3 linked regions of the Macaca fascicularis genome follow. Each later gene encodes a partner of the first gene's protein in a complex. Links are inferred from orthologs where the notes say so. Each region holds a gene or a part of one and is shown in the gene's direction. Other genes may lie near its edges.

Region 1 (3,561 bases):
TTCAGTTTAGGATAGCTTCACATTATTTTGGAGCACTGCTAGGTGGATTTGGTTAAGGCTGGCCTTGGGAGTACTCTGAGTTTTCTCTGAAACCGAACTCGATTTGGTTGTAGGTGCCCTGTTTGCTGTTTGTTGCTTTTAGTAACAGGAATCAGTTTACCTGGGAGTTAAGAAGTACATTGCCATAGGTTTGGACTGGAGATAATTTGCCTTTTTTTTTTTTTTTTTTTTTTTTTGAGATAGGGTCTCACTCTGTTGCCCAGGCCGGAGTGCAGTGGCGTGATCTTGGCTCACAGCAACCTCTGTCTCCCGGGTTCAAGTGATTCCCCTGCCTCAGCCTCCCGAGTAGCTTGGGTTACAGTCACAAGCCACCACACCCAGCTAATTTTGCATTTTTAGTAGAGATGGGGTTTCACCATGTTGGCCAGGCTGGTCTTGAACTCCTGACCTCAGGTGATCCACCCGCCTTGGCCTCCCACAGTGCTTGAATTATAGGCATGAGCCACTGTGCCCAGCCGATAATTCGCCATTCTGTGTTTATTTGCATGTTAGAGACCAGTTAAAGACACTTTCTAAACAGAAGTTTTGTATGTGGGGTTTTTGAGCAGGTATTTTCCCGTGATGCTGGGGGGAAACACACATAATCAAATTACTTGTATAAAACAGTTTCTTCTGTGTTTAGGAACTTTTGGGGGTGAAATGCTGACCTGTGTTTTTCTTTCCATGATCAGTGTCCAGAGGACCAGAGGTTAATTTATTCCGGGAAGCTGCTGTTGGATCACCAATGTCTCAGGGACTTGCTTCCAAAGGTACCTCACTTACACATTAACCTCTGAATGTTTTTAAGCACTCACCAGGTTAGGTTTAGGTCCTTAAGTGCCTTCTTATTACTTTTAGCAGGAAAAACGGCATGTTTTGCATCTGGTGTGCAATGTGAAGAGTCCTTCAAAAATGCCAGAAGTCAGTGCCAAGGTGTGTCTCCTTCTACATGATGATAACAATTTGTATCATTCAGACTTTCAGGGGAGTAATAAAAGAAGTTGGATAAAACTTTTATTGAGAGACTGTATGGTGTTATTACCAAGTAATATTTTGTTTCTTTCCTAGGAATTAGAAACTGTATTATCAACACAAGTGATAGGTTCATAGTAGCAGATTGTTCCATTACTGCTGTAGTGGAAAAGTGGAGTTACATATTGCACTATCTTCTGGGATATGATTTGATCTATGGTTACTGTGTATCGAGATTACTGAACTAACACTGATTGGATTTTTATTGAATTTAGCACACAGCAAGTTTTTTCAAAGGAGCCATTAATTTTTATAAAGAGTACAAAAGTGAATATATTTCCTCTGGAAATTTTCATTATGATTAGTTGGATAGGAAAAGATCAGAGTCTTTATCAAGTGATCTTTAAAGAATTTTTTTTTTTTTTAAATATGGTCTTGCTATGTGGCCCAGGCTTTTCTCAACCTCCTGAGGCAAGCGATCCTCCTACCTCAGCCTCCTGAGTAGCTGGGACTACAGGCATGTGCGACTGGACCTGGCTCTAAAGACTTCTATGTGACAGACAAAAACATTTATTTTTCATTTCACAATGTTTATTCACATATATGGTGTTAGTATTCTGGTGTAGTGATGCACTCTAAATTTGCATTATATTTCCTAGAACATCTGAACAGAGCATAGGAAATTCCCTATTTTGCCATTATCAATTCTAACAAAAATCTTAAAAGCACTTTACCATTTCATTTCCCTGCATTGTAATTTTTAAAAAATGATCAAAAACAGTATCATACCAAGGCTTACTTGTATGAGAATACTATTTTAGAAAGTTTGGGCCGGGTTCTATTTATAAATCTTGTTGGTCAGATTTCTGCAATGAGTAAGTTTAGCACCATTATCAAGAAGCTTTCTCACCAATGACAACTTCATTGGAAGATTTTAATGAAATTTTAATGAAAGTGTAGCATCGTTACTGTAGGGAAAAAAATGAATATGTTAGCATCTGTGTATTGAAAATTGTGTGTAATAAATGTCAGACTTTTTTACATAATGTTGCTTCTATTTAATTTTGTCACGTTCAGAGGTGGGGGGTAGGAGACATTAAGCCCTTGACAGCAAAATAATTCCTTTCGCTTGATTTCAGACAGTTGCGTCAGCTCCCTTGTTCTGTGTTCATGTTACACTTATTTAGGTGGCTGAATCCACAGAGCAGCCCGCTGGTTCTAATCGGGGACAGTATCCTGAGGATTCCTCAAGTGATGGTTTAAGGCAAAGGGAAGTTCTTCGGAACCTTTCTTCCCCTGAATGGGAGAACATCTCAAGGTGAGTGTTATAATAAAGATCTCGGCTTATGCAACGTGAATGTGCCTCATTTGCATCCATTGAAGAGTAAGGTGTGTTTACACGTATATAATCAGAACTTTTAAACCTACAGAATTTTGCTTTACAAATAGCTTCGCTTTAAAGATGTCTTATATATTTAACTTTTCTTAATACACAGCCTTTTAGTATATACAAATTTAAAAAGTAGGCAATGCATATATTGAAAAAAAAATGTAAGTGTTTTATCCTTCCATTGTGCTGACCACTTGGTTGCCGTCATGCTAGAAAATTGCTGCTGCAGGAGAAAAGCTGTTGTAAGCATTGTGCAGCTGCTTTGCTGAGTGGCTTTGTGCTTTATTGTAACAATGGGTGACAACAAGGGAGAGACTGTTTAAGAAGTATTATTCCAGAGACTTGGGGGTACTAGGAAAGTTGGCCATTTTTTATAACCATTAAAGCTTTTCTTTAGAGCAAAAGTCAAAACTAAATGCTGTGTTCTTTGGATTTTTATAGCTCTTGGAATACCTTGTTTTTTGGGAAAAATTCATTAACTACAAGTTGAAATTCTATAACTCTCCAATTCCCCATCCCCCTTTTCCTAGTAGTTTTTATATGCAATATTTTATAAAGCCAGGTGTTTCAGGAGTGAGTTTTTCTTTTTTTTTTTTTCCCTTAATGGAACTTTCAAATATAAACAACAGTGGGGACTAGATAATTAATCCCCACACCATCATCCAGGCCTGCCTAATAAATAACAATCAGAGTTTTACCATACCTCATCTATTACCTTTTCCCCTTTTTTTTTAAAGTATTTAAAAGTAATCCCCAGTTATGTTATTTCATCCCTATATACTTGAGTATATAACTATGAAAACCTTTTAGTTATCCTGTATATCTAGAATGCCATTATCAGATCTAACAAAAATCTTAAAAGCACTCTATCATTTCATTTCCATGCACTGTAATTTTCTTAAATGATCAAAAACAGTATCATACCAAGGCTTACTTGTATTGGAATACTATTTTAGAAATACTCTGTGTATGGAATTTAGTTAAAAGATTGTCAGCATATAAATTGGATAATTATTGGATAGAAAATTATTGGTTAGAAAAACTTAAAACTTCTTCCCTTATTCTGATTCAACTATTTCTAACTTGAGAATTGAGGCTCGTATTTGACTTTCTGAATCTCACCATAGTTAAACTTGATTTCCTTTAACAAATACTTATTG
Region 2 (4,214 bases), on another chromosome or scaffold:
GAAACAGCATTGGAGTTTGGTTTTGTTTGCATGTCTCAGCCAATCAGATTATCAGTTTACTATACAGAAAACAACCTCAGGGAATGGTTTAAAAGATACCATCTAATTTTAGATACCCTTCACTTTTTTCCTCCCAATTTCACCAAGAAATTCAGATTTATATTAACAATAGAAAACAAATCAAATTTAAGAGTTTTATATCTTTATATAACAGAATAAAACTTGCCCAACCTGATTAACCCTTTCTATCCGCCCCACCTTCCCAATCCCTCCCTCCTTTCCTTTCCTAAGGTAGGTTCCTACTCCTTGAGACTTCTGAACTCAGTCCTCTCTCTCGATCCCACACATTGGACAATGAAGCAGGAAGTGTGTCCTTTGAAGTTTAACCTTTCATATTTGTATGCTTTCCCTCAAATTCAATGTAATTCCTTTTTTTTTTTTTTTTGACAGCTTTTACATCTAAACAAACCAAAAAACCCAAAACTCCTGCAATGCCTAAAACAGCGTCTTGCACCTAATACACTACCCAAGAAAAAAAACTATTATGAATATCCAACTCCAGCCAGAGCCGTGACTCACGCCTGTAATCCCAGCACTTTGGGAGGCCGAGGCGGGCGGATCACTTGAGTCCAGGAGTTCGAGACCAGCCGGGCCAACACGACGAAACCCTGTCTCTATCAAAAATACAAAAAATTAACCGGGCGTGATGGCACACACCTGCGGTCCCAGCCACGCTGGAGGCTGAGGTGGGAGGATCGCCTGGGCCCAGGAGGTAGAGGCTGCAGTGAGCCAAGATCGCGCCACTGCACCCCAGCCTGGGCGACAGAGCGGTGACACCGTCTCAAAAAAAAAAAAAAAAAAATTCCTATTCCATTCCCTTATCACTGGCTTTCCCCCTCCTCACTTAACTCCCGCCCCCCGCAACAGGGACTGGATCTAAAAACAAAGCCCTTCCCAGACCCCGCGGGACCGCGCGCGGGCAGCCGGATGCGGACAGCTTTGCAGCCGGAGCCCGGCGCCCTCTCTGAGCTCTCCAGGGCCCGGGGATCCCAGACTTCGCCTACAGCGGGTAGGGCCGGAGCCGCTTCGCGCCGCGCGGTTCCTCGGTGAAACCCGCCAGCGCCTGGGGACGGACCCCAGAGGGTCCGGCGGAAGGCCGGTTTCCGGGGGCCGGAACGAGAGGACTAGGACGCCGCTCGCTCCTGCAGCTCCCCAAGCCGGCTTCGCGGGGCCGGCGGCGGCTGGGTAGGGACCGACCGCCACGAAGCTACTGCCACGTCAGGGCAACTTCACAAATCCCGGACGAGGGCGGGTGACGCAAGCCGGGCGGCCGCGACGGGGCTGGGCCTGCGGCTACCGGAGGAGGCTGACCTCCAGCCCGGGCGCCGGGTTCAGCGACGCCCCGGCCGGCGCCGGTGCCTGCCAGGCACTCAGGGAGGCGGGGGCGCAGCGGAGGAGGCGGCGCCATCGCGAAGCCAGCGCCTCGCCAGCACTCAGCCTTGCCACCCGCCCGCAGTCCGGGCTGGACTGGGCGGCATTTGCCAAGGCTCCTCGGCCAGGCCCCGTCCGCCCGAGCCGCGCTGAGACCTGGGCAGCGGCCGCGTGGAGAGGAGGTGGCAGCTGCCCGGGAGGCCGGAGCCAGGCCAGCGACCCGCCATGGAGACCCGCTACAACCTGAAGAGTCCGGGTGAGCAGGGCTGGGGCCCCTGGGCTAGGAGTGCGGAGTGACCCTGGACCCCGGGGCGGTCGCCGCGGTCCCCTCACGTCTGGCGCCACTCGCGGCTCAGCTCCTGGTTTCGCGCTCTACGCGAGACCGCCGCCTGCCCGGGAAGTGCAGGCCGCAGGGCGGGGTGGCCGGGTGGACGCCCGCTGCCAATCCCCCGGCCGGCCAGCGTCCGCAGCACCCAGCCTCCCCCTTTTCTCGTCTTCGCCCGGTCCCGTAGAGCTGGGTCAGAAACTCATCCCTGAGAACAGGTGTAAAGGTGATGTGGGTGGGCGATAGTCAGCAACCCCCTCGCTGTACCTGCATCCTGAACACCGTCGTTAATTCCCTCCCCGTCGCTGTCAGTGGACTATTAGCCGGCTGATTTACTCACATTTGAGGAGTTAGTCGTTTAAACATCCTATTTGCAGCACTTGGGCGAATGCAATTACAGACATAAAGGAAGTGTTCTGTAACTAAACCAGTTAACTGTAGAGCTAAAGCAAAACAAAACAAAAACAAAACAACAACAAAAAAAAACACCTAGTTGAGCCCTGTTCTTGAGAGCTAACCTTGATTTTTGCCAGACTGGCTAATATGAAACATATCTGTCTTCAGTCGTAGGATTCCTTTCCTGCATTTAATGATCCTGCTTTATTTACACAAGCAGTCCCAGCAATACTAACCTTTACTTTCTGGTGCATTATAAAGATAAGCAACTAGCTTTCTCAGCTTAATGAAACAGGCTTGAAATAAATCATTGGATCCTCTAAATGGTATTTTTTCTATCTGTACCTTGATACATTTTGTCAGGGGGAAGAAACTCTACAGTTAACTCTGCATGATAAACTCTAGGGTATTAGTGATTTCACTAACTTTTGCGTTGCTTAACATTTCCTTCCAAAAAAAGCTGTTTCTCAGTAGGAATTAGCAAGACTAGCATCCTTATGGAAAGAGTTGACATTGTGAATCTTTGGGTTTTTTGTATGGTTTCAGAATATGCAAAAACCCCAGAAAAGCCTGAGGATATTGATTGGAGGGAGCTTTGTTAACCTGAGTGCTGTCAAGCTCAGAAATGTCCTTAGGTGACCAAGTGTGTAGAATTGGTCATAATATTTTAGGGGCCACTGACTCCTCAAAAAAATCTGATGAAGACCTGGCACGGTGGCACATGCCTGTAATCCCAGCACTTTGGGAGGCCTGAGCCCAGGAGGTGGAGAGCAGCCTGGCCAACATGGCGAAAGCCCGTCTCTACTAAAAACACAAAAATTAGCTGGGCATGGTGTTGGCGCACTTCTGTAGTTCCAGCCACTCGGGAGGCTGAGGCAGGAGGATGGCTTGACCCGTGGAGGCTGAGGTTGCAGTGAGCCAATATCGCGCCACTGCACTCCAGTGTGGGCAACAGAGCGAGACTCCATCTAAAAAAACAAAAACAAAAACAAAAAACAAAAAGAACCCCGGGGTGGGGAGGGAGGAAGAAAAGACCAAAGAGAAAGAGGGAAAGAAAAGCTTAATTTTTAAGGTAGATGGTAAAATGATTGAATTCTTTACATTGTGGTAGATTTAACTAGAACTGTTTGGGTAAAAATGTATGATGGCTTCCTGGTCACATGGTTCCTTAGGACAGCAGAGGTGCTCAGTGAAAGGTCCAGAGAATAATGCACATGTGAGTAGTAGTGCAGTTTGGAATGGAGAACTGGTGGAACCCAAGAGATTGTTGTCAGAAAACATCGCTCAATTTTGATAGGTTAGACTTAATACTATGATGATGTTTTTAAAATTCTTCAGAATTTTGTACATTTCCAAAGTATGTCAACTATTGTCAGCTGGTTGAGCTTTGGTTGACATGCTTCTAACTGTGTCATAAATTGCTTCCTTTTTTTGGTTTCATTTCCTCAAAGATAGTGTTGCGGTTCTAAAAAAAAAAACAGTGCTTCTTAAAACTCTATTTTTGTTAATGTGTGAATTATTTGGAGTTCATGGAGAAGTTGAATTAGGTGAGATATGGGACTTACTGAAAATGCTGGGAGGCATCGTGAAAATACTTCCTTCCTTTGCTTTATTCTCAGTCCTGTGTTATTTTTAGAGTAATGCCTGTGTGAAGGGGAGCAACTGAAAACTCCAATTTCCTGCGTACGGCAGGGTGCACACACACGTAAAACACCAACCAACCAGACAAACAAAAAACAACCACACAACGGGAGAGACATAATCTTTTACTCTTTATCTGATGTGGGATTGTCTTTGATGTATGAGTGGAAAGATGAAGTGAAGACAATACAGATAGTTGGTTAAGGGCCAGTGTAGTAGCATGTGGATATAGTAAATTTGTTCATTTCATAGGTGGGGAAACTTTTTCCTTTATGGTGTTTTTTGGAATGGACTTGTGATTGTGGGTAGAGCTGTTGTGTAGGATCACCTCAAAGCCTCTGACTAACCTGTCAGTAGTTGTCTATGGATCAATTTACTTGACCCATGTTTGGGTCCGCTCTGGCCAAGGAAGTAGAGTCCT
Region 3 (4,075 bases), on another chromosome or scaffold:
TTTTTGGTGGTTTTTTTTTTTCCCCACTCCGTTGCAATTTATGTTTCCTCTCATTTGCTTTTTCCTTCTTGTTTGTTTTTGTTTCTTACTTGTATATTAAAGTCCTTCCTTAAACGTCTAATGATCTCTGGCTATTTATTTTGAAGAGTAAGAACACTAAAACGCTGATTGGAAAGTGAAATGAGGGCTGGGGCACCTAGGCCAAAGTCTTACATGTGGAATTCATTATAATTATCTACATCATTAAGAGAATTCTGATGAGGGTATCTTTGGGATTTTTCTTTGGAGCTGGTGAGATTCCCCAGAGAGGATTTTCCAAAGGTATAATCAGGCTCTTGTTTACCTTTGTTTCGTAATCAATATTCTCAAGTTTGCTAAACCAGTTACCATTCTTCGGTTCGATTTCCAGCTTCCAAAATGTTGCTGTTGTTGTCTCCTTTCCCTTTCTTACGGCCTGGAGAGTAATACATAATTCCACCTTTAACTGGAAGCCCCTGTATGTATGTATGTATGTATGTATGTATGTATGTATGTACTCACTTATTCGAGACCCGGTTTCGCTGTGTTGTGCAGGCTGCACTTGAACTCCTGGGCTCGGGAGATCCTCCTGCCTCAGCTTCCGGAGTAGCTGATACCACAGGTGCGTGCCACCGCGTCTGACTGCCCGCATTATTTCTCTAGGATAGTTTTTTTGGAGGTCAACTGCAGGATCGTATAGGAAGATTTTGACACAAATTTTCTTATTGCCCCGAAGCAATATGTATATATGAAAAGAGGTAAGCGTCTGTATAATAATTATTTGTTTTGCAACAAGCATTGAATAACTTTCACGGGCACTGCGCAAGTTACCTATCTGCCTCAATACTCCGCCCAGCGGTGGGCAGGTACAAACATCTGAAAAAGCAATGAGATGCGCATGACATTTAGGCAAAGACAGAGGGCAAACATAAAAGGGCCAAGCGCATAGACCACGCCTCTGAAATTGGGGTAGGCGAGAGGGGTTTGATCTTGTCGATGATTGGCTGGTCTCTGACCAATCACAGACCGCAATTGATTTTTCTAATTGTCGTGATCCACCTCCCCGGGGCCTTGAAGCTACGTTTACAAATAGGAATAGGGTACGTGGGAGGGATAGAACATATAGCCAATAAAATCATGTGGCGCCGATGGGCGTGTTGAGGCCGCTGCCAGGCTTAGGGCGGAAACAGATTCTCTGGATAAGCGGGGGAACGAAAGATGGCGGCGGAAACGGTGCTGTCCAGTGTGTTGGGACTGCTGCTTCTGGGACTCCTGTTACCCGCAAGTCTGACTGGCGGTGTTGGGAGCCTGAACCTGGAGGAGCTGAGTGAGATGCGTTATGGGATCGAGATCCTGCCGTTGCCTGTCATGGGAGGGCAGGTGAGAGGCGTATAAGGGGCGAGGGTCCGGGCAGAAGAGGAAGCGAGTAAGAGATAGAGGAAGAAGGGCAGCTCCCGAGTCTGGGGCTGGAGCCTACGGGAAATCGGGAAGAGTAGGTATTGCTTTTACGGTGATCCCTGGGGATCGCAGACTGAGACCCATTCTCTAGGGGCCAGGAATTGGGAGAGGTGGGGCTTCCCGCTGTCAACGTTCAGGTCTCAGTTTACTATCGAAACACCGGGACTCCGTTCCCGTGGAGAAATGGGAGCGCCCTCTCGCCTCACCCACTAAATACAGCTGGAGAGCTCGTGGCTTATTCTGTCTTCGACTGAGCTCTTCCCCAGGGTCTGAAGAGGGATTTCGTTGTTTTCCCTGATCCCAGCCTTTCTTTGCTTCCTTGCCCCCCGACCCTCCCTTCTTTCCCAGAGCCAATCTTCGGACGTGGTGATTGTCTCCTCTAAGTACAAACAGCGCTATGAGTGTCGCCTGCCAGCTGGAGCTATTCACTTCCAGCGTGAAAGGGAGGAGGAAACACCTGCTTACCAAGGGCCTGGGATCCCTGAGTTGTTGAGCCCAATGAGAGATGCTCCCTGCTTGCTGAAGGTGAAAGGGACTGGGTTAGATAGAATGAGGGCTTGGGAACTAGCAGTTCATCCGAGAACTGTAGTCCAGTGAATGAGGCAGGATCTAGGGGACCTGTAGTGGTTAAGAAGACCATTGGAGGAGTAGACAGATTACACGGACAAGAAAGAAGCAAAGAATCCTGTAACCATTGATGACACTTCGCTGAATGTAGGAGCAGGTTAGGATAGAAGATCTCAGAAAAGGCCGGGTGCGGTGGCTCACGCCTGTAATCCCAGCACTTTGGGAAGCCAAGGCGGGCGGATCACGAGGTCAGGAGATCGAGACCACGGTGAAACCCCGTCTCTACTAAAAATACAAAAAAAAAAAAAAATTAGCTGGGCGTGGTGGCGGGCGCCTGTAATCCCAGCTACTCGGGAGGCTGAGGCAGGAGAATGGCGTGAACCCGGGAGGCGGAGCTTGCAGTGAGCTGAGATCGGGCCACTGCACTCCAGCCTGGGCGACAGAGTGAAACTCTGTCTCAAAAAAAACCAAAAAACAAAAAACAAAAAAGAAGATCACAGAAAAGGGCTAACGCAAGACTGAGGGTCTGCGTCGGGTAGGAGGAGTACTTTCTTAAGCCTACCTGCTAAAGTCACCCCCTGCCCTATCACTCCACTCCAGTATCCAATTTTATTTTCGTCGTAGCACTTTTCATGATCTGAAATCATATTAACTGAATCAGTTTGTTTATTTTCGGTCTGAATCCCAGCATTAGAATGTAAACTCCATGAGGTCAAATAATTTATCTTGTTCATAGTTGTATTCCCAGTGGCCAGAACAGTGCAAGGAATGTCCAAGAAGTTCAATTAATATTTAATTTTGGGTTCTTCTATGTTTCCCTAATATGATTGCTTCAGGGATACCATAATTTCTTATCTTTATGGAGGGGAAATGAGGATTTAAAAAATCTTTTAAGAGGGAGGAATGGAAAGACCACAAGTGGAAAATAGACTTTAGAGATAACTCTCTACGTCACAGAAGGAAAGCAGCCCTCCCTCCTTACTGAAAGTCTGGAGAATTGAGAGTGGAAGTGAAGGGAAGAGAATTGAGTGTGCAAGTAGATGAGAGGCTATGTGTCTTGGAGCCAGGAGACTCTGATTCCAATAAAAGACGTCTGCACCCCATCCCCCTGATTGTTTAATTTTTAATTGTCAGACAAAGGACTGGTGGACATATGAATTCTGTTATGGACGCCACATCCAGCAATACCACATGGAAGGTAACTGCCTCCTATGTTTTCCTTAAGCCCTCAGCATCGTATCGTTGAAGGTAACCTGCCTCCCCAGTTCCCTCCTACTCTTCTTAGGGGTAACAGTGCTTCTCTGTGGCTTCTCTTGCAGATTCAGAGATCAAAGGTGAAGTCCTCTATCTTGGCTACTACCAATCGGCCTTCGACTGGGATGATGAAACAGCCAAGGTGGCAAGAGTGTGGGATTCGGGGAGAAGGGGTTCTGGCCACCGGCTGAAAGCCCTGACAAGAAGGGGAGGGTCAAGATTAGCTGATCTGTTTCTTGGGGCTTGGTGGCCATTAGGACAAAGCTTCCTGGGGGGCACAGGCCATTCTTTTGTCTCTGTGAGGATGCAGTGCCATCCTTCCTCTTTGCTGTCTTTCTCATCTCCCCCACTCCTGCCTCATGTCTTCTCCAGGCCTCCAAGCAGCATCGTCTGAAACGCTACCACAGCCAGACCTATGGCAATGGGTCCAAGTGCGACCTCAATGGGAGGCCCCGAGAGGCCGAGGTTCGGGTGAGTCTTGAGAGAGGAAGTTGACACTCCCATAGGGACAGTTCAGATTCTAAGGGAAGAGAATTGCATCTTATAGTCAGGGGGCTCCCTCCGAGATTTAAAACATATTTCCAGCAGGGCATGGTGGCTCATGCCACCAGCACTTTGGGAGGCCGAGGGGGGCAGATCGCCTGAGGTCAGGAGTTCAAGACCAGCCTGACCAATATGGTGAAACCCCATCTCTTCTAAAAATACAAAAATTAGCTGGGTGTAGTAGCGGGTGCCTGTAGTCCCAGCTACTCAGGAGGCTGAGACAGGAGAATTGCTT

What was found. The genes of interacting proteins can lie anywhere in the genome.
Region 2: HERPUD1 (region 1) and UBE2J1 share a complex: the UniProt entries of both Homo sapiens proteins name them as parts of the HRD1 complex. The link is inferred for Macaca fascicularis from reciprocal best matches to the Homo sapiens genes HERPUD1 and UBE2J1.
Region 3: HERPUD1 (region 1) and OS9 share a complex: the UniProt entries of both Homo sapiens proteins name them as parts of the HRD1 complex. The link is inferred for Macaca fascicularis from reciprocal best matches to the Homo sapiens genes HERPUD1 and OS9.

The regions. Positions count from the first base shown.
Region 1 is NC_088394.1:53,039,746-53,043,306, forward strand, and holds part of HERPUD1 (homocysteine-responsive endoplasmic reticulum-resident ubiquitin-like domain member 1 protein), read left to right. Parts: intron 1-731; coding exon 732-809; intron 810-897; coding exon 898-972; intron 973-2,198; coding exon 2,199-2,329; intron 2,330-3,561. UniProt on the Homo sapiens protein: Component of the endoplasmic reticulum quality control (ERQC) system also called ER-associated degradation (ERAD) involved in ubiquitin-dependent degradation of misfolded endoplasmic reticulum proteins.
Region 2 is NC_088378.1:86,036,729-86,040,942, forward strand, and holds the start of UBE2J1 (ubiquitin-conjugating enzyme E2 J1), read left to right. Parts: upstream 1-1,358; 5' UTR 1,359-1,656; coding exon 1,657-1,687; intron 1,688-4,214. UniProt on the Homo sapiens protein: Catalyzes the covalent attachment of ubiquitin to other proteins. Functions in the selective degradation of misfolded membrane proteins from the endoplasmic reticulum (ERAD) and is essential for cells to recover from ER stress.
Region 3 is NC_088385.1:64,510,590-64,514,664, forward strand, and holds the start of OS9 (protein OS-9), read left to right. Parts: upstream 1-1,219; 5' UTR 1,220-1,236; coding exon 1,237-1,398; intron 1,399-1,824; coding exon 1,825-2,001; intron 2,002-3,177; coding exon 3,178-3,241; intron 3,242-3,362; coding exon 3,363-3,439; intron 3,440-3,669; coding exon 3,670-3,768; intron 3,769-4,075. UniProt on the Homo sapiens protein: Lectin component of the HRD1 complex, which functions in endoplasmic reticulum (ER) quality control and ER-associated degradation (ERAD).